Nothobranchius furzeri: one gene and its partners. The protein of the gene in region 5 binds, or shares a complex with, the protein of the main gene of each other region. Links are inferred from orthologs where the notes say so. Each region holds a gene or a part of one and is shown on either strand. Other genes may lie near its edges. The genes, in order: mbip, kat14, dr1, yeats2 and tada2a.

Evidence for each region.
Region 1: tada2a (region 5) and mbip share a complex: the UniProt entries of both Homo sapiens proteins name them as parts of the ADA2A-containing complex. The link is inferred for Nothobranchius furzeri from reciprocal best matches to the Homo sapiens genes TADA2A and MBIP.
Region 2: tada2a (region 5) and kat14 share a complex: the UniProt entries of both Homo sapiens proteins name them as parts of the ADA2A-containing complex. The link is inferred for Nothobranchius furzeri from reciprocal best matches to the Homo sapiens genes TADA2A and KAT14.
Region 3: tada2a (region 5) and dr1 share a complex: the UniProt entries of both Homo sapiens proteins name them as parts of the ADA2A-containing complex. The link is inferred for Nothobranchius furzeri from reciprocal best matches to the Homo sapiens genes TADA2A and DR1.
Region 4: tada2a (region 5) and yeats2 share a complex: the UniProt entries of both Homo sapiens proteins name them as parts of the ADA2A-containing complex. The link is inferred for Nothobranchius furzeri from reciprocal best matches to the Homo sapiens genes TADA2A and YEATS2.

The regions. Positions count from the first base shown.
Region 1 is NC_091758.1:21,135,601-21,142,232, forward strand, and holds the start of mbip (MAP3K12-binding inhibitory protein 1), read right to left. Parts: upstream 3,877-6,632; 5' UTR 3,838-3,876; coding exon 3,718-3,837; intron 2,931-3,717; coding exon 2,814-2,930; intron 2,648-2,813; coding exon 2,468-2,647; intron 1,906-2,467; coding exon 1,809-1,905; intron 1,453-1,808; coding exon 1,387-1,452; intron 1,207-1,386; coding exon 1,048-1,206; intron 522-1,047; coding exon 424-521; intron 1-423. UniProt on the Homo sapiens protein: Inhibits the MAP3K12 activity to induce the activation of the JNK/SAPK pathway. Component of the ATAC complex, a complex with histone acetyltransferase activity on histones H3 and H4.
Region 2 is NC_091746.1:29,631,878-29,638,455, reverse strand, and holds kat14 (cysteine-rich protein 2-binding protein), read right to left. Parts: upstream 3,904-6,578; coding exon 3,645-3,903; intron 3,543-3,644; coding exon 3,421-3,542; intron 3,326-3,420; coding exon 3,204-3,325; intron 2,973-3,203; coding exon 2,800-2,972; intron 2,726-2,799; coding exon 2,291-2,725; intron 2,217-2,290; coding exon 1,636-2,216; intron 1,459-1,635; coding exon 1,325-1,458; intron 1,215-1,324; coding exon 1,039-1,214; intron 965-1,038; coding exon 774-964; intron 703-773; coding exon 529-702; 3' UTR 438-528; downstream 1-437. Other genes in the region: protein PET117 homolog, mitochondrial, read right to left, coding at 4,099-4,248, 4,782-5,021. UniProt on the Homo sapiens protein: Component of the ATAC complex, a complex with histone acetyltransferase activity on histones H3 and H4. May function as a scaffold for the ATAC complex to promote ATAC complex stability. Has also weak histone acetyltransferase activity toward histone H4.
Region 3 is NC_091756.1:58,160,154-58,165,317, forward strand, and holds the end of dr1 (protein Dr1), read right to left. Parts: intron 3,122-5,164; coding exon 2,975-3,121; 3' UTR 2,050-2,974; downstream 1-2,049. UniProt on the Homo sapiens protein: The association of the DR1/DRAP1 heterodimer with TBP results in a functional repression of both activated and basal transcription of class II genes.
Region 4 is NC_091751.1:55,948,646-55,953,549, reverse strand, and holds part of yeats2 (YEATS domain-containing protein 2), read right to left. Parts: coding exon 4,891-4,904; intron 4,813-4,890; coding exon 4,736-4,812; intron 4,658-4,735; coding exon 4,578-4,657; intron 4,136-4,577; coding exon 3,931-4,135; intron 3,573-3,930; coding exon 3,337-3,572; intron 3,262-3,336; coding exon 3,187-3,261; intron 2,904-3,186; coding exon 2,830-2,903; intron 1-2,829. UniProt on the Homo sapiens protein: Chromatin reader component of the ATAC complex, a complex with histone acetyltransferase activity on histones H3 and H4. YEATS2 specifically recognizes and binds histone H3 crotonylated at 'Lys-27' (H3K27cr).
Region 5 is NC_091753.1:55,049,026-55,054,920, forward strand, and holds part of tada2a (transcriptional adapter 2-alpha), read left to right. Parts: intron 1-2,847; coding exon 2,848-2,936; intron 2,937-3,152; coding exon 3,153-3,225; intron 3,226-3,324; coding exon 3,325-3,388; intron 3,389-5,730; coding exon 5,731-5,774; intron 5,775-5,895. UniProt on the Homo sapiens protein: Component of the ATAC complex, a complex with histone acetyltransferase activity on histones H3 and H4. Required for the function of some acidic activation domains, which activate transcription from a distant site. Binds double-stranded DNA.

The DNA of each region.
Region 1 (6,632 bases), on a different chromosome or scaffold from region 5:
CTGTTGTTGTCTCTAAACCTAAAACCTGTTCAGACTTAAAATTTGCTTCAGGAATGTTGCATCAATGTACTATATATCTCCCTCATTCCCACATTATCACATTCAAAAACAAATAACTCACATAAGTTAAACCACCTAAAGGGCGGTCCAGACATCGTCTTTTACAAAAAATGACCAATGAAGTAAAAGTTACGGAGAAATGGAAGCAAACTGCTTTAGAGGTAATATCTGTGAACGTCAGGGGAGGCTAAAAGTGCTCCAAGATGAAGATTTGCACAGAATAAAAATCTAAGAGAGCACTGGTTGAATTTGCATTGAACTACATTATGTGAACTGTCATCATTTAAGTTTAGTTTCTAATGCAGATCTCTGTGCTGTAATGTTATCTGAAAAAGCTTTGTGTGTTTAATCCAGAAGACTCACCGTGGACTGAAAGTACTCAGGAGAGAGTCCCTCCAGCTCCAGGATTCGATCCTCCAACGTCTTCAGTCGCTGGTAGACGGTCAGAGGAACCGGACCCACTGAGGAATAAAACATAAATATAATATGTTCCATACACCAGACTGGGAAAAAAAGGACTAAAACAAAACCCAGAAAATAGGGAGAGAAATCATCGTGTGACAAGATTCTCCCCAAAAATATGTACGTAGTTATCATCTGGTGTTTTAAATCAGCCAATATTCAACATGACAAGGTGATCAGTCAACCCAGCACCTGAGAATCAGATTTTCCCCCAGTTTGTTCAAGTTAAAGACAAAAAAAATAAAATCTGTTTTTTTTTTCCTAGTCCATGAACACACCATCACTATCATTGGTTGGTTAGAGTAGTGAAAACTCAGAAATCAGTATCGGCCATAAAAATTAGAATCCGTGCATCTTTGAGTGTGATTAACTCTTTTTTGTGTGACTTAAGAAAAACATCAAGAATTTATGTTCTTGTTGATATTTTATAAAAAAAGGTGCTCATCATGTCACAATATCTATATTATTTGTATTGTACAGTTTTATTCAGGATGTGTGACGCATCACTTGTCTCTCTTCTCTCACCTGACGGCAGTTTCAGGTGAGTCTCCATGTTCTGAAGTCGCTCCTCTATGGCTGCATTTCCACAGTCTCTTGCAGCTGCCCCCCTATGATGCTCTGCAGCCTCTCCCTGGCGCCCCCCGCCACGAGTCTGGGGCCCGTAAGTGTTTACCACTCGTGAAACTGATCAACCAAAGAATAATCACAGACTCGGATGAACCAACCAAATTTTAAATGATGCACATTACAGAAATCACACAGCATCCATGATGCTTGTTACCAAATTGTTAACAAAAATAATTTAGCTAGTGATGATGAGTGTATTTTTGAACGTAAGAGCAACAAAGAGTCCCCTTTTCTTACCTTTAATGTGGCTTTTAAAGCCTGGGTAAGGAGTGAACACGGCGTCCGTCCTGGCACAGCTGTTTTCTACAAAGGAATCAAATCCAAAACAAAAGTGTAATTAGACTTTCTAAATGTAAGAAGAAAATAGTCATAAAAAAAAACATTAGAAATGAATACACCACACTTGAACTGCAACTTCGTCTGATTTCCATTACTGGCGTCACACACAAGCTTTGAATTTCAAACAGCCTGTGTGTCTGGTGTTTTTCTGGCCAGAGCAGGTTGCGTTTCAAGGCCGAGTGTGTTAGCTACTTCAGGCCCACTCTTGGAGCAGTTCAGCCTGACCTCTCGCCTGTGGAAATCAGCTCTCTCCCAAACATTGGCAATCTGTGTGCAGCCTCCCTCTCCACCCTGCCCCCCAATCTCTCCTCCGTTCTCACCCTGATTGCAGTCGATCACGTTGCAAAACTCGCGCACATTGTTTTCATTGATCTCCATCTGCTTGCATTCCATAAATGCAGATATTCTTCGCTCGATCTGGAGTTACAGAGAAGACAGATAATAAGACACAACGGGTTGATGAGCCACTGATAGCTGTGAAGAATTCAATGTTTTGTCGACTTATTTTTACTGATTTAGAGTAAACAAAGTTCAGCGATTTATGGTTTCAAAAAATATCAAACACAGTGAGAGAAATTATTCCAGATAGCCCAAACAGTTGAATAGATTATCGTCATCATGTGATGGAATAAGAATACGGTTTGCCTGGCTACCAAAATAAATGCACAACAGAATGGGGCCTCTTGTCCTTCATCCACATGCAATCTCAGAGTAATGAGCATCCACTTCATAATCCATCAAGGACCTGGCCCTCTCTCAAACCCCTCCAGCAATGTGGTCCATTCTACCCCACCACAGCACTACAGAACCCTTTATTCTCTGTCAAACCCAGTATCAGAACTCCATCAAGCATTTGCTGCACATCATGTGCACATCCTTGGAACCAATTACTTATGATTATTCATTTGCTTGACAGAGTGTGAAGGGCTCTAAAATATCAGTGCCAGAACAGCTGACAGATCTGTTGACAATGACCAACCTCTGACTTCCCGGCTCGGATCTGAACCATGACGTCATCGCCCGAAGACCCGCAGTCTGCAGCCTCTGAGCTGTGACGCCGGTGCTCGGATGATAGTGACGTGACAATGTTATCCGCCGTGTCTTCCTTCACAGATGTAACATCAGCTTCCACCAGTGACCTCAGGCTTTCTGAAACAGCCTACAGCCAAACAGAAAGAACACTGACTGCTACAAACACATTATAAATTAGTGTTATTATTTCTTTAATTACAACACTAGTGACCATCAATTATACTGTAAATGTGGCACTTATTAGATATTGCAGTCATATGTAACATAAATTAACCAACGGGTGAATGTCTTACCTGCAACTTAGCAATGTGCTGCTGTACACAGCCATAAACACCTGCTTCTGAAGATGACGAAAGTACTACAGCTCCAGGGTTGACCTCTATTCTCAAAGCAGCATCCCCTAATTTCAGCTTTGAGAGAAAATAAACAAGAGTTTCATCAAGTACACATCACCACAGCTAAATAAAAAATATATAGTTCAAAATAGTAGAGGCAGAAAATGCTAAATAATTTAAGTAATTTAACCAACAATTTGGTAATTAAAAAAGAAGCAATTTTTCATAATTTGCTTCTATAAACGGTCAAATTAAATAATCTTATTGTTTTACACTGAACCTTTCTGCTGTGCTAGAAAAACTAAACCATTATTTAGCAAAAAAAAACAGTGTATATAAGACTGAATACATATATTTAATGTCCCTTTAGAAGCCCTGGGTATGAAAAGAGCTAAAGCATCCAGCAATTTTAATAATTTAGACGTAAACACGGGGGGAAATAGAGCAAGGTTAAATATATTTTCTAAGGTAGAAATGCGTTGTGGACAGTGGCATCAATAAACGTTTACCTGCAGGACCAAAAATTACATAATACTGCGTAAAAATGCCAAAAACCGTGAACGTTTACTATATGGAAAAAGAGGGTAAATGAAAATAAGCGTGATTTGAACCTAAACTGACGTGTGACACAAAAGTCTGGACATGTTTTTATTGCACAGAAATACAAATATTAAAACTGAATCTGTTAATTTAGATATAAACCATCGAGCTGACGCTTTCCTACGGCAAAAACTTGATTAACGGACAGTGAATGAACATGAACCGACGAGGCTAGTTGCTAAAAACATTAGCACACCGCTAGGAAACTACTCAGACTGGAATGACTATTCGGAGCGAAGCAGCTGAATCATTTCACACCAACCTCTTTCCCAAAGTCTGAAAGCAGCCCCAGTATTGCGTCCATGCAGTGTTTGTAACTGGACATTTTAGCTGGTTCGCTGGGAGGAGCTTTGCTCTCACTTAGCTTCGTTGTCTCCGCCATTGCTACTCAAACTCATGGAATACTGCGTGCTCATTGGTTGCGAGACGGTGATTTTAATCACGTGGTTGGTGGAACTGCAGGCTAAAATGACGCATGCGCATTAACAGTAGCGCATGAAAGTAAATTCAAAGCACAAAAATAAATGATTTACTGTGTTTTGCTCAGAATTTTGATCTTTAAATAGATTCTGAAACATTAAAAAACCTGTATAGTTTTTTTTGTTTGATCCTAAAGAGGGCTCATCATAGGTAGAAAGATGCTTTTGTTTTTGTTTGTGGAGATTTAATTTCTAGAAGGCTCATTCAGAAAGCAAAAGTCAACTTTTACTAATTTAAACTATTTAATAAACTAGTACAGATGCTTAAAATTGTGAAATATGTTTCAGTATAACAAAAAAGTAAACAATAGTTTAAAAAACAGCAGAGAAAAATAAACAGAAAATGTTTTAACTTTTGAAATGGACATATTATTTAGGTTCAGTATATTTGTTTGCCTTTTCTCAGAGGATGCTCATAAGGTCATGTCTTATTTGTATAAAGCATATAAAATAAGTTTTATTCTTAAAAAACTACTAATGTTTTTATTGTGCTGATTTTTGAGGTGCTTTATGACTTAAACTCTTTTTTAAATCTTGGTTTAAATGGACTTGTCTACATTTTTACAATACTGACTGACATGTCCAAGCCACATTTGCCTACGTTTTCATTCACCTGCTTCTCAAACAGCACAAAGAATGGCTCCTTATTATAAGCACACTGTGCTTCTTACTGCAGAGGACCAAGCAGCAGGGCATTGGGATGGGAACCTGCCCACAATGGTGTATTTCTCTGAGTTGAGTGACTGTGGGAAAATCTCCCTTCTCTATTCAGACATTTTTCACTTCTTTTCATATAATGAAGAGAGAGACTGATGAAGGAAACAACAGAAAAAGAACAATTACAGGCAAAGAGACGGCACAACCATGCACTCAGAACTCAATAATGCTCTTTAGAAAGGTTAATCATTTTAGGAAGGGCTCTGAAGATAAGCCTTTTTAGCTTAATTCATTTGTAGGGTGATATTTTTTCCCGTGAAACAGGAAGAGAACTGTAACACTTGACATGGTTTGACATGCTGAGCAGTTGCTAAATGTTCCCACACAGCGAGGAGCTCTGAAATTAAATACACTGCTCATTTAATTTGCCTGGCTGCAGACCCAAGAGCTGTAATTTTTTTTACCCTTTTAATGAGCTGTATATGTGATTTAAGGTACTTCTTGGAAAATACTTAGAGCATTTTGGTTGAATTTAACTTTTGAAGCCAAATTGCAGATGCTCATTAGCTAAGGGTCTGACTTGATCTTTCACTATCTTGTTAGTTGAAAAATCATAAAGAACAGAAGAGGTAATACTTACATCATCATATATTAAATTAAATACCAATACTTTGTAATTGCATGTTTTAATCGGGAATTTCCAGGTCGTGCCATCAATTGAACATAAACAACCATTTAGCTAAATGTATTTTTCATTTGCATATGTGCAAATAAATACCAGACAGTCCAAATTTGGTGATGTATTTATTTGAAAACAGCCTTTTTTTTATATGCGAATACTTTTACATATGACTCGGTCAGCAGCAGTCAAAGAATGCAGCTTCAGTCTACATCTTTATTTCCTTCAGCAATTCAAACACACACATAAGACCCAATTTTCAGCAATAAAAACAAAATGAAACATAGAACAGACATTATTATGATAGCCCAGGAACGTGCATGTCAAGCATAACAAAACATAGGAACAATATGTTAATCAGTGCAGAGCCGAGGGTTTTTCCACAATCCTTGTACGTTTGAATAAAAGTGAAAATAGCTTCAATAGGTGAGATTTTTCAGTGATTAATAGATGCAACAGTGAAAATGCAAATGTGGTGACAAAATGGTTTGGCCCACTTTAGTGTAAAGGATAAATAAATACAGGAAAATAAATGAATTACACCAAACACAGCAGAAGAGGTACTAGAACATGTAAAGTGTGAGAAACTAAATACAAACGTGAAAATTAACCTAATCTTTTCAAACAGAAGTTGTGTGTCCTGAGTCCCCTTCTGTAGACATTATTTGCTCATGATTGATTTGCTCTGGTGTTCGTATCAAAACATTTTCAGAAGGAACTGCTGTTGTTGGTTTGAACTTCAACATGGATGCGTTTATATAAAAGTTCTGAATTAGGATAGTTTAAAGAAGAAGAAGAAGAAGAAACAGAAGAAACAATTTTTTATATAGCGCCTCTCAAAATAAAAATCACAAGGTGCTTCACAAGAACAAAAAACAAAAGGTAAAAATATCATAAAAAATTGAGAAAAAAGAAAAAAATGATCAAAACATGTGAAGGAAGAAAAAAAATGAACAAAAAAAGGTAATCATGGGATCATGAGAAAGGCCGATTTGGTAGAGGTAGCAGCAGGAATAGAAGCTAGTGAGGAAAAATCATCTGGAGGTCACACAAAAGCTTGAACAGGTGAGTTTTCAGCTGCTTTTTAGAGGAGACTACTGAGTCCACTGATCAACCTTAAGCTAGCTGCTATTGGAAGGGTGATCTCAGCATCAGCCAATCATGAAGAGCTTAAATGTACGCCCACCAATGGTGGGCACCCCTGTAAGTGGAGCGACTCCACTGTTCGCCTCCGATGGCTCTTGATCCTAACAGAACCAGTGGGGCCATTTGCTTAAGGGCTGCGACTAGACTCATAGAATCTGGGGTTAGAATATGTAACCAATGTTCTATTTCATCTAGTCTTAGCCCTTAAGCTAGCTG
Region 2 (6,578 bases), on a different chromosome or scaffold from region 5:
CTTTAGGTCAAAAACAGGACATTCAGGATGCTACAACGGATACAGAAAAGTCCAAAAGCTTTGAAATAACATTAATTCCCAAGTTGGACCTGCTCACAGTGAGTTGCCGCCTTTTGTCACCGGTTCTGTGCAGAACCTTGGGCAGATTTTCTAGGTGCAGCCATGGAGTGGAGGGTGGCAGGAGGATCTTGTCTCTCCTAGCTACGTCAAACTTCAGCTCTTGACTGGGGTGAGGATCAGCACCTCTAGAAATGGTTCTCACATGGAGAAAGGCCTGGGTAAGGTCCCAGGTTCCACCCGAGGAGATGGAGGAGGTGACGGAGGAGGGGACCGATCAGGCTTCCCTGCTAGAATGCCATTGTGTAAAAACTTTACTAACAACTTAAAAGTTGTTTTCTTTGTGCGACGAGTAACGTCTAAAACGAGGTGAGCACAAGAAAAGTCCAACAACAGAAAAGTTTAATCAGCTGATCAACAACAACTCGTATGGATCTAGGTCTACGCAGCCTGGTGAACAGGGTGGAGGCGTCAGCGCCGCAGCCGCAGGAAGAAGGCGTGGCGGCACTCTGTGCTGTCCACAGGGTAATATTTATCATAGAAGTCCAAGATGTACTCCTCGGCCTTGAAGCCAAACTTCTGGTAGAGTAGCATGGCCGGATTCCTGGCCGACACGTGCAACGTCACGTCCTTCCCCATGCACGTCTGAAGGCACAACAGCTGTTAGGGTCCAGGCTTTCTCGTGTAAACTACCTGCCCGCCCCAACAGGACTCACCTGGATGAGATGGTAGATCATGAAAGTCCCGATGCCGGCCCGCCTCCACTCCGGATGGACCAGCAGGAAGGAGATGTAGGCTTCGTTGTACTTGACGTCTGGCACCATGAAACCAAAGCCAACCACCACCTTCTTATAGAGAACCACCACGCTAAAGTCTGGGTACTGCAGGCATTCAGACAGGTCCACACCTGCAGGAACACACCTGGAGGTTTGACTCGTGGTTGACAGGCGCAAGCAAAGGAGGGAGGCGGAGCCATGTTACCTGGCCAGAAAGTGTCTTGGCACATGGCGTTGACGGAGGGGATGTGGTAGGGACTGACGTAGCAGTAGTCAATGGGGGCGTCCGGTTCAGCGACCCAGTCTGGATCCTTCCTGTGGGGGTATGCTCTGATCTCCTCCAGCAACCTGAGCTTCACCGGGCGACTCTCGTAATCCCTCCTGTGGAGCACACAGCTTCTACGTGATACCTGGGCCTGGGCACCTCTGGAGCGCCACCTGTAAGGCTTTCGTACTCCAGCAGGTAAGACAAAGTTTTCAGACTGGCCTACCTGATGAACGGTTTCAGGAGGCGGGACGTGTACGGACTCTTGATGCTTTTGTCCAAACTGCCTTCAGCTCCCATCAGACGGTGCCAAAAGGACACGGAGCTGTGCTGGACACGCCTTCGGCTGGAGACGCTGGTCTGTAAACACACAGATGGGTTCAGAGACCAAAGCTGAATCTGAGCCGATGGTGTTAGCTTTCAAGGGAGAAACGGCACAAAAAGGTCAAAGGTCGAGTGAGAAACAGCTGGAACGTGCTGCTGATGTGAAATATGGATGTCTTCTAAAGGTTTGGAGTTGAGGAGACAAGCAGAGACCTGAAAACGATCCAGAATCCGCTGCTCCTGGCGGCTGCTGCAGTATTTCTTCTTAGCCCCGCCTTCCACATGTGCCCCCGCCTCCTGCGCATCATAGATGCCTCCCACCAGGCTGAGGGTGGCGCTGATTGCTCGGTCAACGTCTAGCAGGGGGAGCCCTCTCTGGCGTTTGGTCTGGCGGACCAGCAGCTTCCTGTGGAGGCGTTTGGCATGTGGAGTGACGGCCAGCGCCAGCGGGCAGGCGTCCAGCCGCAGCAGCAGCAGCCGCTCCTCGTACAGGCTGAGCGGGACCAGGCCCGGATCCCGAAGGACAGCCACTTCGTTAGATTTCTCAGGATGAGTCGCCCTCCGCCGCTCGGCTGCTCTGACGCCAACCGGACCCCGGCAGGAAAGAGTCGGGGCCTCTGCCGGCTCTTCCAGGGAGTCCTCGTTCTGGTGGCCATCATCGTCTTCACTCTCAGCTTCCCGTTTGATGTGGGATGGCGCCGCTGGGCGGAGCTTCTTACGGCCAACATGGCTGGTGCTAGCAGGAGGGATGTACTCCACCCCTGGGTCAATCATCCCTTCAATCTCATCGTCATCTGAAAGAGGGAGGCAGACAGGAGATGACATCACAGCTGACACCACAGCCCAGCACGAGGATGAAATGACTCACCGTGGAATAATGCCTGTGGCGGCATGGCGTCCGGAATTAGGTCCGCCTCCGAAAGAAGGCTGGGTGTGGCTGAATGAGAGGCAGGCGTTCCCGGAGCGGAGAAGTCGGGCGATGGAGACAGAGATGGGCTGGTGAGCGGTGTTCGGTCCGAGGAGCTGAGGGATGAGAACTCGATGACCTCGCCTTTTTCCAGGACCACCTCAGACCGGCGACTGGCACCCCCACCGCGGCCTCCGCTTAGCTTAACGGGAGTGGAGGAGGAGCTGCGGTCAACGTAGCCTCCCACTGCCTCCTTCTGGGCTCGGCGGATGTCTTTGGCCTCTTGTGTGCGGCAACGCTTCTCCTTCAGCTGCATGGCGTTCTCCACCGGGTTCCTGGCTCCACGTTTCCTCAGACCTTCCACCGTAATAATCGGGTCCATCACCGGTTTAGAGACTGTGAGTGAACGACACAATGGATCAGTGGGCGGAGCTTTCTCACCTGAACATAACTGTGACAATGCATCTCACCTTTGACCTTAGCGATGGATTTGTCCCCATCCGGTCTCAAGGTGGGAGGTCTGTTCTGGACCAGCTTCCACCAGCCTGGTTCTCCAAACTCCTGCGCACCAGAGCGGAAGAAGGTGGGACTTCCGACAGAAAGGCAGCCAGCGACTGTGCTCCACCACGTTGACGTCTTCTTCCTGCAAACATCATTAGCATCTTCACTGATCCGAGTTAAAGATTCAGCAGAACTTGTGATGATTCTTTCAACGGGATCGATCGGGGCTGGGATGTTTCCTGGCCCTGGAAACCCATCTTCCCTCCATCATCTGTGCAACTGTGGATGTTTAAAGTGGGTCAAACAGCTCAGGTTTGAAAGGGAAGCCTTAAACTCTGATTGGCCAGGGTCTCCGGCATGACTTCTAACTCACCTGTTCCCCAGCAGGAAGTTCCAGTGGCGGCCAATGAAAGCGCAGATGTCCTCCTTCCACCTGAAGTAACCCTGCCGGCCTGTCCCCTCCAGAGACAGGTTGTACATGGCCAGCATCACCACCTGAACACAGGATGTTCCTGTTTAACAAGCAGGAAGTGTGTGTGTGTGTGTGTGTGTGTGTGTGTGGTACCTGCCCTGCTGAGTCTGGGTCATACCTGCTGCCAGGTGAGCCTCATCCTCTCAAAGCTCTCCTTCCTGTCCTCAGAGCACTCGGAGCAGAAGAACTTAAAGAAGTTGTCTCCTTTCAGGTAACTGGGCTGGTCACCGTGGAGCTCAGCTGGACCAGAACCGGGTCAGAAAGACAAAACCCTTTAGGATCGCAGCAACCACACACACACACACACACACGGTCCTCCATGCTGTGCTGTGACTGGCTGACCTGCAGGGATCCACTTGTGGCAACGTTCGCAGTAGAAGGACATGTCCTCACAGGCCCAGCCTCCATCCGTCTCCTCGCCCACGTCGCTGGTCAGAGAGTCCCCGCTCTGGTCGTGGGACAGGTCTACGGAGCCCTGGTCCTCAGACTCTACGATCAGCAGAGTCTCCCCCTCTACCTCGCCCTCCTCCAGACCCTCAGAGGCGGATGTTCCAGCCGCCTCGTCCTCTGCCGCTGCCAGCTGCTCACTGCTGCTGTCCATCTCTGGGCACCTGTGGAGGTTACATGGGTCAGAGAGGCACTCTCTTATTTGTCCATCCAGAAGACCCATGTGGACATTTCAGATACAACAATAGGTTCAAACTGGATCAAACCAGACAGAGAAGTTCTGGTCCTTCATGTCATCTTTGTTCTATACAAGCAAACACAGCTGAATGACCATGTTTCCTGACCTGCCTCAGGTGTCCTGTGACTGAAGCCTCTCCTCTCCTCTCCTCCGCTCCTCCTCCAGGTGTCTGGTCAGAATCCTCTGCTCTTCCAGTAGCCTCAGGTTCTCTTTCTTCCTCTCCACCCGCTCCAGATCCTGAACCACACCCTCACGCAGCCTCTGCAGGGTCATTAAAAACAACACGTGACAACAGGCCCTGCTGCGGAGTCACGTCGGCTTTAATCTGAACCCAAGTGCAAGATAAAAGGGCCTACAAGAGACTCAGAACCATAAGCACAAAGAGGCTCCTCCTGCAGAGCAGAAGTAACACAAATATGGGTCCGTTTCTCACATAGTTCGGGTCTAGATTCTGGCTGGACCGCTGCACCTTGGTTCTGTTGTTGATCTGCTGCTGTGTTGTCACAGACTCGTGTGTGTGTGTGTGTGTGTGTTAGATATCAGGATGCTGGACTCCTGTGGAACCGGCCCAGGCCATTAGCCCTCCACCACCATGTTGACAGCTGGGGTATGAGCTGTTTGTGCAACAGTGAATTATGGGTAATCATCTCACATCCGGGACATTGTGAGCTGCCAGCCAGTTTATTTCTATCACTTCCTTACAGGAAAATTATTTACGCTGGTTTTGGGTCAGAGGTCAGGTTAAATGTCCTGTAGTTCGGTTGCTGCTGGACCGGCTCGATTCGCACACTTACCTCTCGATCCCAGGCCTGGTTTAAATGGACCGCTGCCACGGTACCCAGCGTCAGAAGCACAGAAACACCCAGAACCACTTTGGAGGCTGCCGACATCACGTTGGGTCTGACTTCAGTTAGCCAGATGCTAACAGGCTCCTCGTCTGCACTACCGGAAGTTATTCTTCTTCTTCTGTTTATTTTCACTCCCATGAGCCACAGCGGCCCCTGCTGGTGGGGAAATGAGCTGCAGGCAGCCATCGTTGAAGGTTTCTTGGTAACAGAACAAAAAAAGATGGTTGTGGTGCTTTTTCAGCATTTTTTATGACGTTTTACCTTTTTTCGGCTAAACATTTATGCGACGCAGGCTGAGAATGTACATTAGTATGTGCACATAGTTTTGGAAACCAACGTTTTCTTTTTATTCGTTGTTTTTAGTGGTTGGAGTTTACAATAATAACGTATGGCCAAGGTGTGTTTACCTGTAATCTGATCATTTCCTTCTTTATTTTCTTTAAGTGGAGCAAGTGAATTTCCCCTCTGTGGGATTATTAAAGTCTATTCCATTCTATTCCAAGATAGGACCTGTTTCTCTCTCAATGAGGAAAAGGAAATTTCAGTGTTCATGTGTGTAAATCTCTTATCATTTATTTCATTAGTGTAAATGGTTCAGAAGTAGCTAGTTTGTTAACTAAAGTTTTGGAAAATCACCCTGACCGGAAAGTTGGAGAGGAGCGATGATCTTAGCAGTGAGGAGAAATGTAAAACACGAAGAAAAAACCGGAATCATGCAGCTTAAAGTCTTGAATCAAGATTGAAATGAGCAGAAATGGTCAAAGTTTGAGGAGCAGAAACGTTGGTTTTAAATCTAAAAGAATTAAAAGGTTTTTCAGTGTATTTGAATTTTGCAGAAAGAATTATAAAAAAAAACACAAAGAGCTGAGCTTAAAGAGCAAGTCTCCCCCAAATAAACTTTTTTTGCTGATAAACTAAATAAACGAGTGTCTAATCGTGCTACAGACACGTGTCGTCAATAATTTGGCACTTCAGTGCATCTTAGTTAAAATTTAAATATTCTGCCTAAAACTGTCAGTGTTGTGCCGTTGTCAGGTAAAAACTCTGCACTGTATTTGAATTTAAATCTGCCACCACTATTGGCTAAGAGGTATGCTATGATGTCATCTGGTACATTATGATGTCACAATGCTGTCCTGAGCCTGTGTGTGTGTGTGTATTTGTTAGCAGCTCCGCCCTCTCGGTCTGCCAGGCAACAGCATTTGTTGCATTTTTCAAACATGAAGTGGGAGTGGAGTAAGACTCTGGTAGGGGGTGACTTGCTCTTTAACGTTTTGATTTAAAATTAGACTTAGAAAACCTGCAGAACTAGAAGTCATGCAACAATGCTGCAGCAGCAGGATAACATAGAAGCGGTCCCTGGGACGTTCCTGCAGGTCTGACGCACGACCTGGTCACCCGTAACCACACAGGGCGTCTCTGCAGATGGGAGCCAGTTTTATTGATCATGGAACATAAATAGGACAAATGTTTCACTGAACATACAGAGTAGAAATAAATAGTGTCGTAGCAATAAATTAAATCATGAAATGAAGCTGAGGGTTGCCGAGGAGACGCTGCGGTTGGATGGCTATTTACACGCATTTCATCGTTCCACATTTTAACTTTGTGCAGCTTTCAGCTCACATTATCGTCACATTCTTGGTTTCGCATTTCAGAAAGTTCAACAAGTTAAAAAACTAAAAAAGCAAAAAGTGGCTGATTTTTAAACACCTTCAACAGCGTCGTCACAGCTTAGTCTTT
Region 3 (5,164 bases), on a different chromosome or scaffold from region 5:
AGGTAGCCTGACTGCCATTTGGTATTGAGGTGAGATCCTCAGACCCCTCGTGAGACCATATGCTGGTGCGGTTGGCCCTGGGTTCCTCCTAATGCAAGACAAAAGCTGTGTTTCCATTACCAAAACTCAAGGGTAATTCCTGAGATGGGGAAACTGACCAGGCGATAGGATGTCCCAGTACACACAGCTGTTGTCTCCATTCAAATTCAGCCCTTTCAAAACTTTGCACAGACGTCAGCATATCACGACTGCTTTGGCAGTGAGCAATGTCGCCAAAAAGCGTCCGCAGTAACAATAACATTACAAGCCTTTATTCTATTGAAGTATATAAAAAATGCATCCACTCTGAGGATGAGAGCAGCTGTGTGACGTAAAATGTGGTGTTCAATGACCAGAAGAAGTGTCATATTTTACAGCGCTCTGTGAGACAACAAAGCCTCGTTGATTGCGGGGGGAATTCCACCATGTTTTATGGTGTCAGGAGTTAGATTTTAAGCACGATCGACGCTTATTTTCCTATGCTTCCATTCTGCTTCACCAGCAACTCTCCTAATTTTACCAGCCTGCTGATGTCATTTCCAACTGGGTTTCAACCAATCAGTATGAGGTAACCAGAGGTTTCGCTCAGCTGCTCCACCAGGCCGTTCGGAGTACTTACCCCTGATCAGTTACTCAGAAGGTTCCTGAAAACGGCCTGGTCAAGTGGAGACACGTGCATGTCAGGAGGTTCCTGTAAATCTACCCTGAAGTTCTGGTAATGGAAACCTAGTTGTTGATGCCATGGACTGGCCTGTCCATTACCCAGACCTGAATGCAACTGAGCGCATGTGGGACAGCACGTATGCCACGTTGCACCAGATTGTCCAGGATTTGGCGGATGTTTTAGTTCAGAACTAGGAGATCACTCAGGAGACCATCCACCACCTCAAGAGCATACCCAGGTGATGTAGGGAGGTCATACAGACGCATGGAGGCCAGACACACTACCAAGCCTCATTCTGACTGGTTTGAAGGACATTGGGTGACGGTAGATCAGGAGTTAAGTGCTCGCCCTGTAATTGGAAGGTTGCAGGATCGAGCCCCCTCAGTCTGTCACTGTTGTGTCCTTGGGCAAGACACTTAACCCCCCTTGCCTGCTGGTGGTGGTCAGAGGGACCGGTGGCGCCTGTGCTTGGCAGCCTCGCCTCAGTCAGTGTGCCCCAGGGCAGCTGTGGCTACATCGTAGGTAATCCCCACCTGCGTTTGAATGTGTGAATGACTGATTGTGTCGTAAAGCACCTAGGGGGGCTCCAGAATAGTGATGTGTCGGTCGCGAATGAACCGGCTCTTTGAAGTGAACGACGGGAGCCGGCTCGTCCCCTACCCCCTCGCCCCCTGCCTTGGTGAAAGCTACAGGCGATTGGTCAACATGTGGAACTGTGTGTCCAGACCGTCCACACACAGAGCAGTAGGGGCGGGGAAGAGGGAGGATCAGACTCAGACACACAGCAGAGCACATGCGGGTGGAGGTAGACGAGAGGGAATGAGGAGGAGGGAAAAGGCGAGCGAGAGAGAGGAGAGTGCGACGAAGACGGTGAGAAAATGAGCGCCAGCAGTCGGAAAGTGGAGATTTCTTAAAGTGTTCAGTTATTAAATCCATAGAAATTATAAACAATTGATATATTGCTTTTTTTACATTAGTAAATTATTTTACATATAGTTTAGCATTATTTTGGTTATAAATGTACTCTACGCAACAGAAAATCTGAGGAGCCACTTGGGAGCCGGCTCTTTTTGGTGAGCTGAGCCAAAAGAACCGGCTCTCTAAAAAGAGCTGGAATTCCCATCACTATTCTAGAAGGCACTATATCAAATACAGGGCATTTACATTATATCAAAGGTGGATTTGCCTGTAGTGTGTATCAACTTTACTTTTGAGTGTGACCTTCTTGGGTTGATAAATTTGATTTCCATTGATCATTTTTGTGTGATTGTGCTGTTAGCACATTCAGCTATGTAAACAATAAAGTATTTATTATGAGTATTTAAAGCAAACATGGAACACTGACCTATAAAAACACTTCTTTATTGCTTAAAGAATACAACTTTGTAGAATAACAAATGACTGTTTCACAACTTGTTTTTTTTTAACGCTGAGGGCTGACCAAAGTCACAATAAAGATATTTAGATACTGCTCCAGAGGAAAATGGAAATCATTTCAGCCTGAACACAAAAGCATCTCACAAGGTTCCTCACATCATTTACACTGATCTGGAGTCAGCAGTAAGTATCACGGTAGCACCTACACTTTTAAAAACAAAGTCTGAGCAGTAAGTCTGTCCTCCATCTTTGGTTCTATGAGATAAAAGTTTAATTTGCTCAACTTTGCAGCTAATTACCAATACTGTGGGCGGTTCTAAGGAAGAACAAAATGACAAATATCAGAACAAGCTAAAATAAAAAAAAAAGGTCTATTTATTTCTCTACATAACGAAACAAATTCAATATTCACAATGCCTCAAACAAATTCACTGTCTGAACAAAAATGCTAAGGGAGAAAACAAAATCTTTCCTGTAAAAGTGACCACCAATAATCAAATAAAGAGAAACGAGTTCATCTAAACCACCGACTGAGGACTGGGCGTCTGTGATGTACCTGAAGGAGCAGAGACTTGACGCTTGAGTCGCTGACGCGTCCCAGTATCTGCTCTCAGTGTGTTCACAACTACAAATCCAATCACAACAGAACATCAAAGAGCTCATTTCACATAAGTAACTTATATGGGGAACATAAGGTTAACACAAAACTCAGCCATTCAATCCAAATCGTTTCCAGGAACTAGGATCTGGATGGGGCCCATTCCTCTTTCACTGTTCTCTTCAAATGTGCTTATTTTCAGCGCTCAAAGACGTCTCCGCCAACGAGAACGCTGGAAGATACGTGTGCCAGCAGTGTCCCAGGACAAAGTCCGAACATGTACCCACATCCGGAGTTCACAGGTCATCCTCCTCATCTTCATCCTGAGAGGAACCAGCCTGCTGGGCTGCACTGGCAGATGCGGCCGCCATCTGTGCCTGCTGGGCAGCCTGCTGCACCTGCAACCACTCCTGCTGGGCGAGTTCTGCCTGTTGTTGCCGGGCCTGCAGCCACGCGGCCCACAGAACCAGAGAGAAGCAAGAAGAGCTTTTTATTTTTCCTGAGGACTGTGCATACGTAAAGCCATCAAAGAGATGTTTTACATGACATAACGATCAGTTAGAACATTTTATAACTAAAATGAAACCACATTTCAGTGTTTACTTTAAAGCAAAGCTTAGGTAAAGGTGTAAATTTGCAGAATGTTTAAGTTTAGTTACTGGTCAGATTTAGTAAAAATAAATGAATGAACAGCAGCAACAGAAACTCCATGTTCATTCATAAAGATTCATACAGAACATGGTGTGCTGATCGAGGGCCATTATGGGAGTGGAAACCTCTGATAGTCAAAAGTTAGTGTCAGCAACTTATTAAAATCCTTTGAGATAATATTAGGCGCAGTGAAACAGCAATATTGATCAATATCGTGCAGGCCTATATTTCAGCTTTTAGTTAGGATTTTTTTTTTCTTTATACAGAAAAACAAATCAGGAAAAGCAATAATTTTCCATCTATCCATCTATTTTCAGCCGCTTATCTGGATTCGGGTTGCGGGGGCAGCAGCCTAAGCAGAGAGGCCCAGACTTCCTTCTCCCCAGCTCCTCCAGGGGAATCCCAAGGCGTTCCCTGGCCAGCTGAGAGACATAGTCCCTCCAGCGTGCCCTGGGTCTTCCTCTGGGTCTCCTCCCAGTTGGATGTGCCTGGAAAACCTGACCAGGGAGGCAGCCAGGAGGCACCCTAACCAGATACCCGAACCAACTCAACTGCTTCTCTCAACGTGGATGAGCAGAGGATCTACGCCGAGCCCCTCCCGAATGACCGAGCTTCTCACCCTATCTCTAAGGGACAGTCCAGCCACTCTGCGGAGAAAACTCATTTTGGCTGCTTGTATTCGCGATCTCATTCTTTTGGTCACTAACCAAAGCTTGTGACCATAGGTGAGGGTAGGAACATAGATCAATTGGTAAACTGAGAGCTTTGCCTTCCAGCTCAGCTCTATCTTCACCACAACAGACTGGTATAGCGCCCGCATCACTGCGGATGCAGCACCAATCCACCAGTCGATCTCGCTCCATGTTTCCCTCACTCGTGAACAAGACCCCAAGATACTCAAACTCCTCCACTTGGGGCAGGACCTCATCCCTGACCTGGAGAAGGCAGTAGAGTTGTCAAAAAAATCAATACCCAGATATAAATCGATGCTAAAAGTGGTATCTAAATTAGATATTCCATCCCTGTGGTATCGATATTATGGACTATTATACACAGCCTTCTTCAAGTACACCGACACGCACGACAGCCAGATGCCGTAAAGCAGCCTCCGCCTCCCAGACAAACAGAAGAAGAAGACGCCGCATTGCTACATTGCAATTTCCCACGCGAGTTGTCTCCGATCCAAGTTTTGTCTGCCAAAAAAAATAAACAAAAACAGCGAATTTGGGAGGCGCTTCACAGCCCAACTTAATTAGCATACCAAGTCCGACAAGTAGTTGTATATTCACGCTTATGTGCTTAAAGGAAACTCCCGTTTATTGCAACCCGGACTTAATTTCTAGCATGCAGTACGTTTGTTTACTCATGCTGACAACTTTGGTGCTACTTGGATTCCCCGGGGTATTTACCGTAGATCCATCGGCGAATCGCCGTCAGTGTATATCCGTATAACGGGTGCGGACGGGCACCCATGGTGCAGCCTCGAAATAAGACATTATCTGCACCAAAACATCTCAATGTCGAAAGGTTTTGTTAGGAATCATTAACGTGATTCCCCTGTTCGTTTGGAGCGGGTCTGGGATTTCTAGGCGTAAACAGACTAGCCGCGGCTAATCTAACCGGCGCTTTTAATGACGTCACTGCCGTGCGCTGGTCTGTTTTTATTAAGATTACCGGTAGATGTACCTTTGTCCTACTGAGGAGAAATTAGTTTTCTCCCTTTATTGACCAACAGAGTTGTTCAAAAGTACAGAACAAAACATATGGCATTACATCTTATGACAAAAATGCACCTTAAACAGAGTTTAAGCAGCAAAACATCACTCTGCAAATAG
Region 4 (4,904 bases), on a different chromosome or scaffold from region 5:
GAATGACGTCTCGAACAGAAACACTGCTGCTAAAACTAATAACTGTTAAATCCTGACATCTACAGGTTTAGTATCTCACTTTCCCGCCTCACACACCTAAAACTTTTGTACCTTTAAGCTCATATAATGGCTTACAACATCATGATTCTCTTTTTCTTTCAGTTCCTAGAGTCAGCAGAGAAGTAGGGAAATATGCTTTTAATGTCAGTCTTCCTGCAGACACCCGCTCGCTCACTTCTTTTCACACTTTCCCAAAGGCAATTCCAACATACCTACAGAGTACCAGCACTTGTAAATGTAACTCATTTTAGTTTATTAACTTATTTATTTATTACCATTTTGTGTTAGAGTTATACACTTTTTCTGGCCTTTGTAGTAGTGTTATTAACATTTTGTTAGTGTTTATGGTGTTCGTCATATACAACACTGTGTTTGATGCTTAACTTACATTTTATTGTAATGTGATGCTGGAAATTTGGTGGGGGTTGGGTGAACCATGGAGCTGGTCCGAGTGTGAAGATGTGTGTTTGGTAAATGTTTTTGATATTTATTCTCTATATTTATTATTATTATTTAGCAAATATTTCTCGTTTTTATTTATTGTACATGGTGGTAGCTTATCTTGTTAAAGAGGACCCTCACGACAACGAGATGGCACATCTCATGGGGCTACTCCTCTTTAAATATACGTTAATAGATAAATAAATATTATGCAGGCCAGGACAGATGATTTTATTGATGCCTAACTGTAGCAAACATTGATCATCTAGGTCATAACTATACAGGTGCTGGCCAGTAAATTAGAATATCATCAAAAGGTTGAAAATATTTCAGTAATTCCATTCAAAACGTGAAACTTGTACATTATATTCATGCAATGCACACAGACCAATGTATTTCCGATGTTTATTACGTTTAATTTTGATATTTATAGGTGACAACCAATGAAAACATCAAATCTGGTATCTCAGAAAATTAGAATATTCTAAAGGCCAATGAAAAAATGTTTGTTTCTCTAATGTTGGCCAACTGAAAAGAATGAACATGAAAAGAATGTGCATGTATAGCACTCAATACTTAGTCGGGGCTCCTTTTGCCTCAATAACTGCAGTAATGCGGCGTGGCATGGACTCGATCAGTCTGTGGCACTGCTCAGGTGTTATGAGAGCCCAGGTTGCTCTGATAGTCGTCTTCAGCTCCTCTGCATTGTTGGGTCTAGCGTATTGCATCCTCCGCTTCACAATACCCCATAGATTTTCTATGGGGTTAAGGTCAGGCGAGTTTGCTGGCCAATCAAGGACAGGGATACCATGGTCCTTGAACCAGGTGCTGGTGGTTTTGGCACTGTGTGCAGGTGCCAAGTCCTGTTGAAAGGTGAAGTCTGCATCCCCATAAAGTTGGTCAGCAGCAGGAAGCATGAAGTGCTCTAAAACTTCCTGGTAGACGGCTGCATTGACCCTGGACCTCAGGAAACAGAGTGGGCCAACACCGGCAGATGACATGGCACCCCACACCATCACTGACGGTGGAAACTTTACACTGGACCTCATGCAACGTGGATTCTGTGCTTCTCCGCTCGTCCTCCAGACTCTGGGTCCTTGATTTCCAAAGGAAATGCAGAACTTGCTTTCATCAGAAAACATAACTTTGGACCACTCAGCATCAGTCCAGTCCTTTTTGTCCTTGGCCCAGGCGAGACGCTTCTTGCGCTGTTTCTTGTTCAAGAGTGGCTTGACACACGGAATGCAACACCTGAATCCCATGTCTTTCATGAGTCTCCTCGTGGTGGTTCTTGAAGCGCTGACTCCAGCTGCAGTCCACTCTTTGTGGATCTCCCCCACATTTTTGAATGGGTTTGTCGTCACAATTCTCTGCAGGGTGCGGTTATCCCTAGAGCTTGTACACTTTTTTCTACCACATTTTTTCCGTCCCTTCGCCTGTCTGTTAATGTGCTTGGACACAGAGCTCTGCGAACAGCCAGCTTCTTTAGCAATCACCTTTTGTGTCTTGCCCTCCTTGTGCAAGGTGTCAATGATTGTCTTTTGGACAGCTGTTAAGTCAGAAGTCTTCCCCATGATTGTGGTGCCTTCAAAACAAGACTGAGGGACCTTTTAAAGGCCTTTGCAGGTGTTTTGAGTAAATCAGCTGATTAGAGTGGCAGCAGGTGTCTTCTATATTCAGCCTTTTCAGAATATTCTAATTTTTTGAGATACCAAATTTGGAGTTTTCATTAGTTGTCACTTATGAATATCAAATTTAAATGTAATGAACATTGGAAATACATTGGTCTGTGTGCATTGCATGAATATAATGTACAAGTTTCACGTTTTGAATGGAATTACTGAAATATTTTCAACCTTTTGATGATATTCTAATTTACTGGCCAGCACCTGTAGTATTAAAGTACTGTTGGCTTTAGATTTATACACATTTAATACTTTTGCGAGTATTTCTCCCTGCAGGAGAATGCCTGTGGCTGCAAATCAACTGCCGCAGCAACAATCACTAGAATCATAGCACCATTAATCCAAAGCATGTGTTTATATAGATATCTATATATATGTAACTATGACAAACACATCTAATTAAAATTAGACTTTGGTCACTCATAAATATGCAAATAGACCCAAAAACTAAGAGCCACTGATGACTTTATTCTAATCTGGGACTGAAATGATTGCCTGCAAATATGGAGGTAAGTGTCAATAAATAACTAGTAAGAACATGAAGTCAAATAGTTAAAAAGAGCAAAGAACAATAAAGCGTGAAACCAACAGCCTGGAGATGTCAAAGAAACAGAAAGGATGTGCAGCATGAAAAATAACAAACCTGTTTGGAGAGGATTTAGCGTGGGCTCCAGCTAGAGCTTCTCTCAGGATATCACTGGCAAACTGCTGTGTAGCCTGCAGTACGCAGACACACACACACACACGCACGCACGCACACACACACACACACACACACACACACACACACACACACACACACACACACACACACACGTGCACACACACGCACACACACAAAGTCTTTAATTGAATTTCTTTAATTTCACCAATTCTGGGGAAAAAAAACCCTATCTTCTGTTCCTCCACATAAAAACTAAACACTTCCTTAAAAAATCCCGACTCACTGATTAAAACCGAGATAAAATCAGCCCCTGTAAACCTCATTAAAGTCACTGACCTTGAGAATCATGGCCTCCACTACAGGAGCAAAAACATTCTTCTCCACCTCCACCGGCTGAAAGCTTACCCCGATCTAAAAGACACAAAACACCTTTAGCAAAGAGAGCAGAACCGATGAAACTTAGGAACACACACAGAGCTCACTGACCTGCTGAGCTGTTTCACTGACAAACTGGGAGGAGATGCAGGGACCCAGATAAAATTTCGGCTCCACATCTGTTTCCTGCTCCTCCTCTTTGACCTTTAGCCTCTGGCAGGGCGGAGTCACGGTAACAATGTCGACTATTTCGTCATCTGCCTCCTCTGGTTCGGTTTTTAGCAGAGCTTGCATCTGCTCCAGCCTCTGCACCAGCTCCTCATAGTTGCTTAGGGTCGACGGGCACTCTGATGAACAAATCCATAATTTTATTAAAGCAGGACAGCCTAACATTCACTAAAGAATATTACAGTTGTGCAACATAAAGCAAGATTCGCAAGACAGAAACGTTGTCTGGCTCAGGCGAGTGACTCATAGAGAGTCCTCGTCTCTCACCTTTTAGAGACAAAGGACCAAAACGGATTTCAGCTGAACAAAAGCACCAAGGCTGCACACCGGCCGCCCTCACAACCACATACACATCACTGTATCAAGCGGTAACTGCAGAAGAGCTGTACAGAGCTGCTGAAATCCAAAACACACACACACAAAAACTCGCCCAGCAGGTCTCCCTACAGAGGACTCGTTCACAAAAACAAAACTTACCAGGCTCGCTGTCGATTTGCGTGAGAATGTCCTCGATTGACTCGTCTTCGTTTCTGTGTTGAGGTTCAGGGTCGGGAGGCGTGTAGCCCCTCTGCCGGCACCACTGCACCACCTCCTTGGTCTTCGGGGGCGTCAGGGCCTGCAGGCGGGGCGAGCGGTCCAGCACGTCCTGAACCAGACGCTTCACCGCCACCGCTCTCTGAAGCTACAGAGACGGCCAAAGATCAGCTCATTTTAACTCGGAAGAGTCCGATCACAAAGTTTAAGCATTGTAGACCCTCGCTGCTTAAACTATTTAGCAACATGCATGAATAAGCATTAATATTCACGGTATCCCACATACGGCTCAGAATACAGTATTAGTCAAAGAGATGATGTGGCAGAAACACACATCCAACTAGAGAGAGAAGAGATGCAGCTGGAAGACGGATTAAAATGCAAAACTGCAGCCGCGGCGAATCATCACGTCGTGTACTCCATCAAAGTGAGTAAAAACACGGTCATACTTCTCTTCTCCACAAGAACAGCAATGAATCATTTACTATGTTGATGAAACACGAGGCTAGTACAGCATGAAGACGAGTAAAACTGAAGATAACGGTGAGAGGTGGACATAAGATTTCATCAAAACAAAATCAAAAGGTTACCTCTGACGCTCTGCGTTTGCCAATGTTCCAAGAATAATACTGTTCTACTGAGGAGGCACAAAAGGGATGGGAGTCTTCAGCTATGTAAAAATAAAGCAGCGTTACATTTAAAGAGTGTCTTCAGTCGGTTTATAAATATGAAATCTAATTGTATTTACTTTTTTCTGGCACAATTAGAGGAAACTTCTTCACCACAGCCGTCAGCAGCTGCATCATGGTTTCGATGTGCTCAGTGCTGAGAGGAAAGAGCTTTGGATTAACATCAGAACATCATCTGCATTTGTGTTTAAAGAGACAGCGGCGTTGCTCTTACTTAATGAGGCAGTG
Region 5 (5,895 bases):
TTATTTTTCTGGCTAAATATCTCATTAACCACCACACTCTGAAACAGCTGGGTCATTTTTTGGAATCAGCATTGTTCAGGATGGCCGTCACAGTCAAGCAGCCTTAGCAAACACTGTGATGGCATCAATTCAGCCAGCTGAATGGATATTGAGCTAAAATGAGCTGAAACACGAGTGATCCTGAAATGCTGTATGAGACTGTCGTAATGTCATATTCAAGATTTGACCAAAATGCCTTTAAAGGTAGAGAAGAGTTGACCCTGTGTTTAAAAAAACACAATTCAAAGGTCCAGCCAGCACTCTTTTACTGGCTCCTGCTCCTAAGCTACACCTCCAGAATACACGATGCTAACATCCATAAGAAACACAACATCAATTCAATTCAATTCAATTAAAAAATACTTTATTAATCCCAGAGGGAAATTGATTGCTGTAGTAGCTCATAATAATAATAATAATAATAATAATAATAACAGGGCATCCGCGGGTCCTTAAAAAGTCTTAAATTAGCTTTTCCAAATTTAAGGCCTTAAAAATCCATAAAAATGACAAAAATCCTTAAATACAGTTTCCAAAGGTCTTAAATTACCAACGACCCAATAAACAAGATTCTTTTATTTCTATAAAATGTTCGTGAATTTCTAGTTCAGCATTTTTTTGTATGATATTGGCGTAAGCGGAACCAAATTCAGTTGGTTGTGAAAGGGGGCTATTTTTAGATGAGCACATTAGCTGGTTAAGCTAGTGGGAGCTTGCGCCATGGGGAAGTGCAAGTTTAATGGTAACTGGATGGCTAATCCCACATTCGCGTCGTGGTTAGCACCGGTTCCAGGCAATAGCTGGAATTTATAGCTCAAATTTCATTTTAAAAAATTGCTTAAATTTGGTCAAAGTGGCCTTAAAAAAGGTCTTAAAAAGTCTTAAATTTGGCTCCCTTAAACCTGCAGATACTCTGAATAATCAAGTCATCAAAGAGTTGTTGTATATTACAATGGCTGTTGGCAGGAAGGATCTCCAGTAGCGGTCAGTGTTGCAGCCAAACTGAAGAAGCCTCTGACTGAAGACACTCTTCCGTTGTCGGACAGTCTTGTGAAGAGAATGCTCAGGGTTGTCCATCATGTTCTTGATTCTCTGGAGAATCCTTCTTTGCATTATCTCCTCCAGCGGTTCCACAGTCGTCCCCAGAACAGAACCAGCCTTTGTTATTAGGCCGTTGAGCCTTTTCAGGTCCCTGCTTCTGATGCTGCTACCCCAACAGACGATGGCTGAAGAGATTACACTCTCAACAACAGACTTGTAGAAGACCTGCAGCATCTTGCTATAGACATTGAAGGACCTAAGCGTCCTCAAGAAGTGCAGTCTGCTGTGTCCCTTCTTGTAAACGGCTTGGCTGTTCTTTCTCCAGTCCAGTCTGTTGTCTAGGTGAACTCCAAGGTATTTGTATTCCTCAACCACCTCCACTTCTTTTCCCATGATGGAAACAGTGTTTGACTCCACCCTGTTTCTTCTGAAGTCTAAAATCATCTCCTTTGTTTTGTTCACGTTCAAGGTCAGATGATTGTTTCCACACCATGCCACAAAGCGCTCCACCAGCTCTCTGTACTCAGCTTCCTGTCCATCTCTGATACACCCGACTATCTTACCTTTCCAACCCCGTTGTGACGTTTTATGTCTTAATTCCCAACGCAACGCACTGATGTAACAGCCGCCAAGCCTCCAGGCTTCTGATGGACTCGCCGTTGTCCGGTGCTCTCCAGACTCTCTCAAGTTAAAGTTTTAGAGAGAGAAGCCACTGGAACCTAGATCGCTTGAATCACGCAATCTCTGCTCAGAGCAGCTGAACAGGAAGTGAAGCCAGAGCTGGGCTAGCCACATTAGTTAGCCCTTCTGAGTATGTACACGTCGCTAACCTCGGTCCATAGGAGCTGAGAATGTCGCAAGAGCCAATAACCACTCACTGGTGAACAGTTAAAGTAATAACAGGTGCACATAAACAAACAGGTAACTTTTTAACCTTCTTCCCAAATAAATTGTCCTTCGAAAACAGTCCAATTCAAGCTAGCTAACACCAGATACGACAATGTATTTATCCACCTATCAGCTTCCTGTGTACGACTCACCTTTACTTGTCATCTAGAATCTTCTGGTGCTGATCCGTGGCGGGAAACAGCCTTGAAACCCAAAATCAGTAGTGAAAAAGTGAGTTGTTAAGGGCTGCAGTTACAAAGTTAGACCACAGGATGTCGTAGTTACTTCAGGCTTCATCACAGAACTTTTGAATGGCCTGTATTTGATAAAGCGCCTTCTAGAGTCCTGGAACCCCCCAAGGCGCTTTACAACACAATCAGTCATTCACCCATTCACACACCCATTCACACACGGGTGGGGATGAGCTACGATGTAGCCACAGCTGCCCTGGGGCGCACTGACAGAGGCGAGGCTGCCGAGCACTGGCGCCACCGGACCCTCCGACCACCACCAGCAGGCAGCGTGGGTTAAGTGTCTTGCCCAAGGACACAACGACAGCAACAGACTGAGTGGGACTCGAACCTGCAACCTTTTGATTACGGGGCGAGCACTTAACTCCTGTGCCATCGTCGCCCCACACTTTTCAAAGGTCTCGGGTCATTTCTGATTTGTGTAGCTTTTAAGCAGCCAGGTGTTCCGAATTTAAGTTCTCCAGGTTTACCAGTTAAGTGTGAAAGTGACCCGGCAGAGAGTCGGACCCTCCACCTGTCAGAGCAGGTCGGTTCTGGTGTTGCTCGCATGCAGCGGGTAGATTTAAGCTTCCTGGTCATTAATGTGTTAAAGAGGAAGTTTGATTTTGGTTTTCCTCTGATCCCGCAGCCTCCGACGACCCGCCCCGGCCCACGTTCGACTCCATGCTGTCTCGGGACATGGCGGGCTACATGCCGGCCAGAGCGGACTTCATGGAGGTGTGTGTGTGTGTGTGTGTGTGTGTGTGTGTGCGTGTGTGTGACCTGCAAGAATAAACCATCAGAGTCGCCACTAGGGGGCTGGAGATGAACCCTCATTGAAACAGTGACTCATACCTTTGTTGTTGCCTCTCTGAGACCCGTTTCTCATAAATTGTTGATCGTCGCTCGGTGCAGACGAGCAGATTGTGAAAACCCTTTTCATGTCTCTCTCAGGAGTTCGACAACTATGCAGAATGGGACCTGAAGGACATTGACTTTGTGGACGATGACTCAGATATCCTGCGTGGTGCGTAGGACTTTTGTTTTTAGTATTTTTATTTTTCCGTCTGATTGACCTTCAGGTGGCTGACTTTACTTTTCCATGTGGTGTTTGCTTCTCTCACAGCCCTCAAGCTCGCTGTCGTTGATATTTATCATTCAAGATTAAAAGAGAGACAAAGAAGGAAGAAGTGGGTGAATTGTATTATTTGTGATAGAAGAAAGTACTCATTAACCTGTAATAACCTCCATCTTTCAGCAGATGGCGCCATACGCCTGAGAAATCACCCCCAGGTCTCTTAAGCTCTCTGGTTTAATTAATGACATTTATGCTCATTCTAAAGTACAAAGCAAACAGTTTCGTCTCCCTCTGAGCTCAGCTCCAACATTAATGATGCTGATGTGTTTATATCACCTAAAGAGGTGTTTGTTTTGTTAAAAGCTCATTTAGGACCAACGTCCTGCGAGGCTGTGCTAGCCAGAATCAGTTTCTTCAGTCGCTACAGAACACGGAGTGGTTCACGCTCAGCTGGTGGTCATTTTTAGAAAGAAGGAAATTGTGTCACTTTGTAAAAAGTCCCATAGAATGTTCTCCGTGTTGGAGGGAAAAGATTTCAACTCCCAGAGACCGAGGATGTTTTCTTTTAAACGACAGCCATCAGAAAACCCTCACACAGCTGTTTGAGTGTGCCCATCAAAAACGGTTTTCCTGAGAGTTTTTACTCTCCAGCAACCAAAGTTAAATCAGTCAAGTCAGCGTTTTCTGAAACTGTGGCCCTCAGGCTGGGATCGCTGGACCTCCAGGGGACCACCAGCCTTAAAAGGGCATTATGGAAGTGTGACAGCCAAAACATGTATAGAAATAATAAATGTCTTCTTCATACATTCTCCTGCAATGCCCTGGTCCTGTAGAATGAGCCCTGGCATTTTTACTGTGATTGCCTGTTTTTCTGTAAAATCACAGAAAAAGAGAGATGCTCGGGTCGAGCAGGCTGCTTCATGCGCGTTCACGCTCAGGCATCGCCCGTAGCATTTGCTATCTGTAGCTTTAGCAGCAGAGAGAGAGGCAGTGCCACTTTGTCGCTGTTCCTAACGCCTAGTGACAAAGCTAGCTACATTTCTGAGGACCCTTAGCTACTTTCTGTAGAACTTTCTTCTAGATATTTCCTGCAAATTAGCAACAAAACAGCCATTTTCACTCCGAACCGTTCTTTGAACATTGTTTCAGCTGTCATCAAGGATATAAATGTTACAGATACCAAGGACGTCACTGGAGACAGCTCACCTAGTAAGACATCGGACTCTCGTGTAGAAGACCTGGGTTTGATTCTGGATGTGAACACAGTTTATTTAAAGTTCATTTTTTACATTAATTGTATTTTTTTTTACAGTAAGAGGCCCAAATTTTTATTTGAGACTTGCCGAACGGCATTGAATTCACAGATAAAAAAGATCTGGGTTCAAATTTCATTTTGGAACAATTTTTCAAGCAAGGGAAGGGAATGATCTGAGCATGCAGGAGGACTGACCCATCTTAAACCTTTGTCGGCTGTGCTGAAGAGAAAGGTACAGAACCACATTATTTAATTAATTAGCTGCGTGTTCTCCTGTCCTCCGGGCCACACACACACACACACACACACACACACACACACACACACACACACACACACACACACACATGGGGCTGTCTCACCTGTTATTTTTGTTAAGGAGTGTGCACGTACAGCTTGTGCGCCTCGTGCACGAGCCTCCTATTGAAGCTGCAGTTATGCTTTTGGCCTGAGGGGGCAATCGCGAGCATAAAAATTCAAAACTCCATAAAGTCCCTTTAAGTTGTGGGTCTGTGGGACCTGAAGCTTGTCCTGGGGTGGACACATGCAGTGGTGTGAAAAACTATTTGCCCCCTTCCTGATTTCTTATTCTTTTGCATGTTTGTCACACAAAATGTTTCTGATCATCAAACACATTTAACCGTTAGTCAAAGATAACACAAGTAAACACAAAAAGCAGTTTTGAAATGATGGTTTTTATTATTTAGGGAGAGAACGAGATCCAAACCTACATTGCCCTGTGTTGAAAAAGTAATGGCCCCCCCTTTTTAAAAAATAACCCAACTGTGGTGTTTCACACCTGAGGTCAATTTCTGTAGCCACCCCCAAGCCTGATTGGGTGTGGTTAAAATATTCTGCATGTGACCATATTATGGTGGTTCTTGGGTCGTGATGATGGGGCCCTTGAATATTGTTGCCCAGGGTACAACAGAGTGTTAATCTGGCCCTGGCTGCAGTGAAGCTTCATCAGGTTAATAATGGGATTAAAGTGGTTTCAGATGATTGGTTCAGATGTAAAACGATCCTGGTGGCTGCATCAGCCTCTGCGTTATTAAGAAGTATAATAAAATAATAATAAAAGAGACACCTGCTAGTGTGAGACAGGAACATCCACCAGCGTCTCACCTCCACAGCCCTAAAACCATCACAGGCCATTTAACAGAGAGCAGGACCTAAAACTCCATGTTTGTCTCTTTCAGGATCATCCGGGACCATGGTCTGATCAACCTCCGCAAGTTTCAGAGTAAGAACCCCCCCCCCCCCCCAACCTCCCTCTAACGCGGATCAGCTGGTGGGTGGAGGGGGTGGGGGGCGCAAATGGTTCAGCTGTAATAACCTTCATCCACCACAGCAGCCGTTAGAGG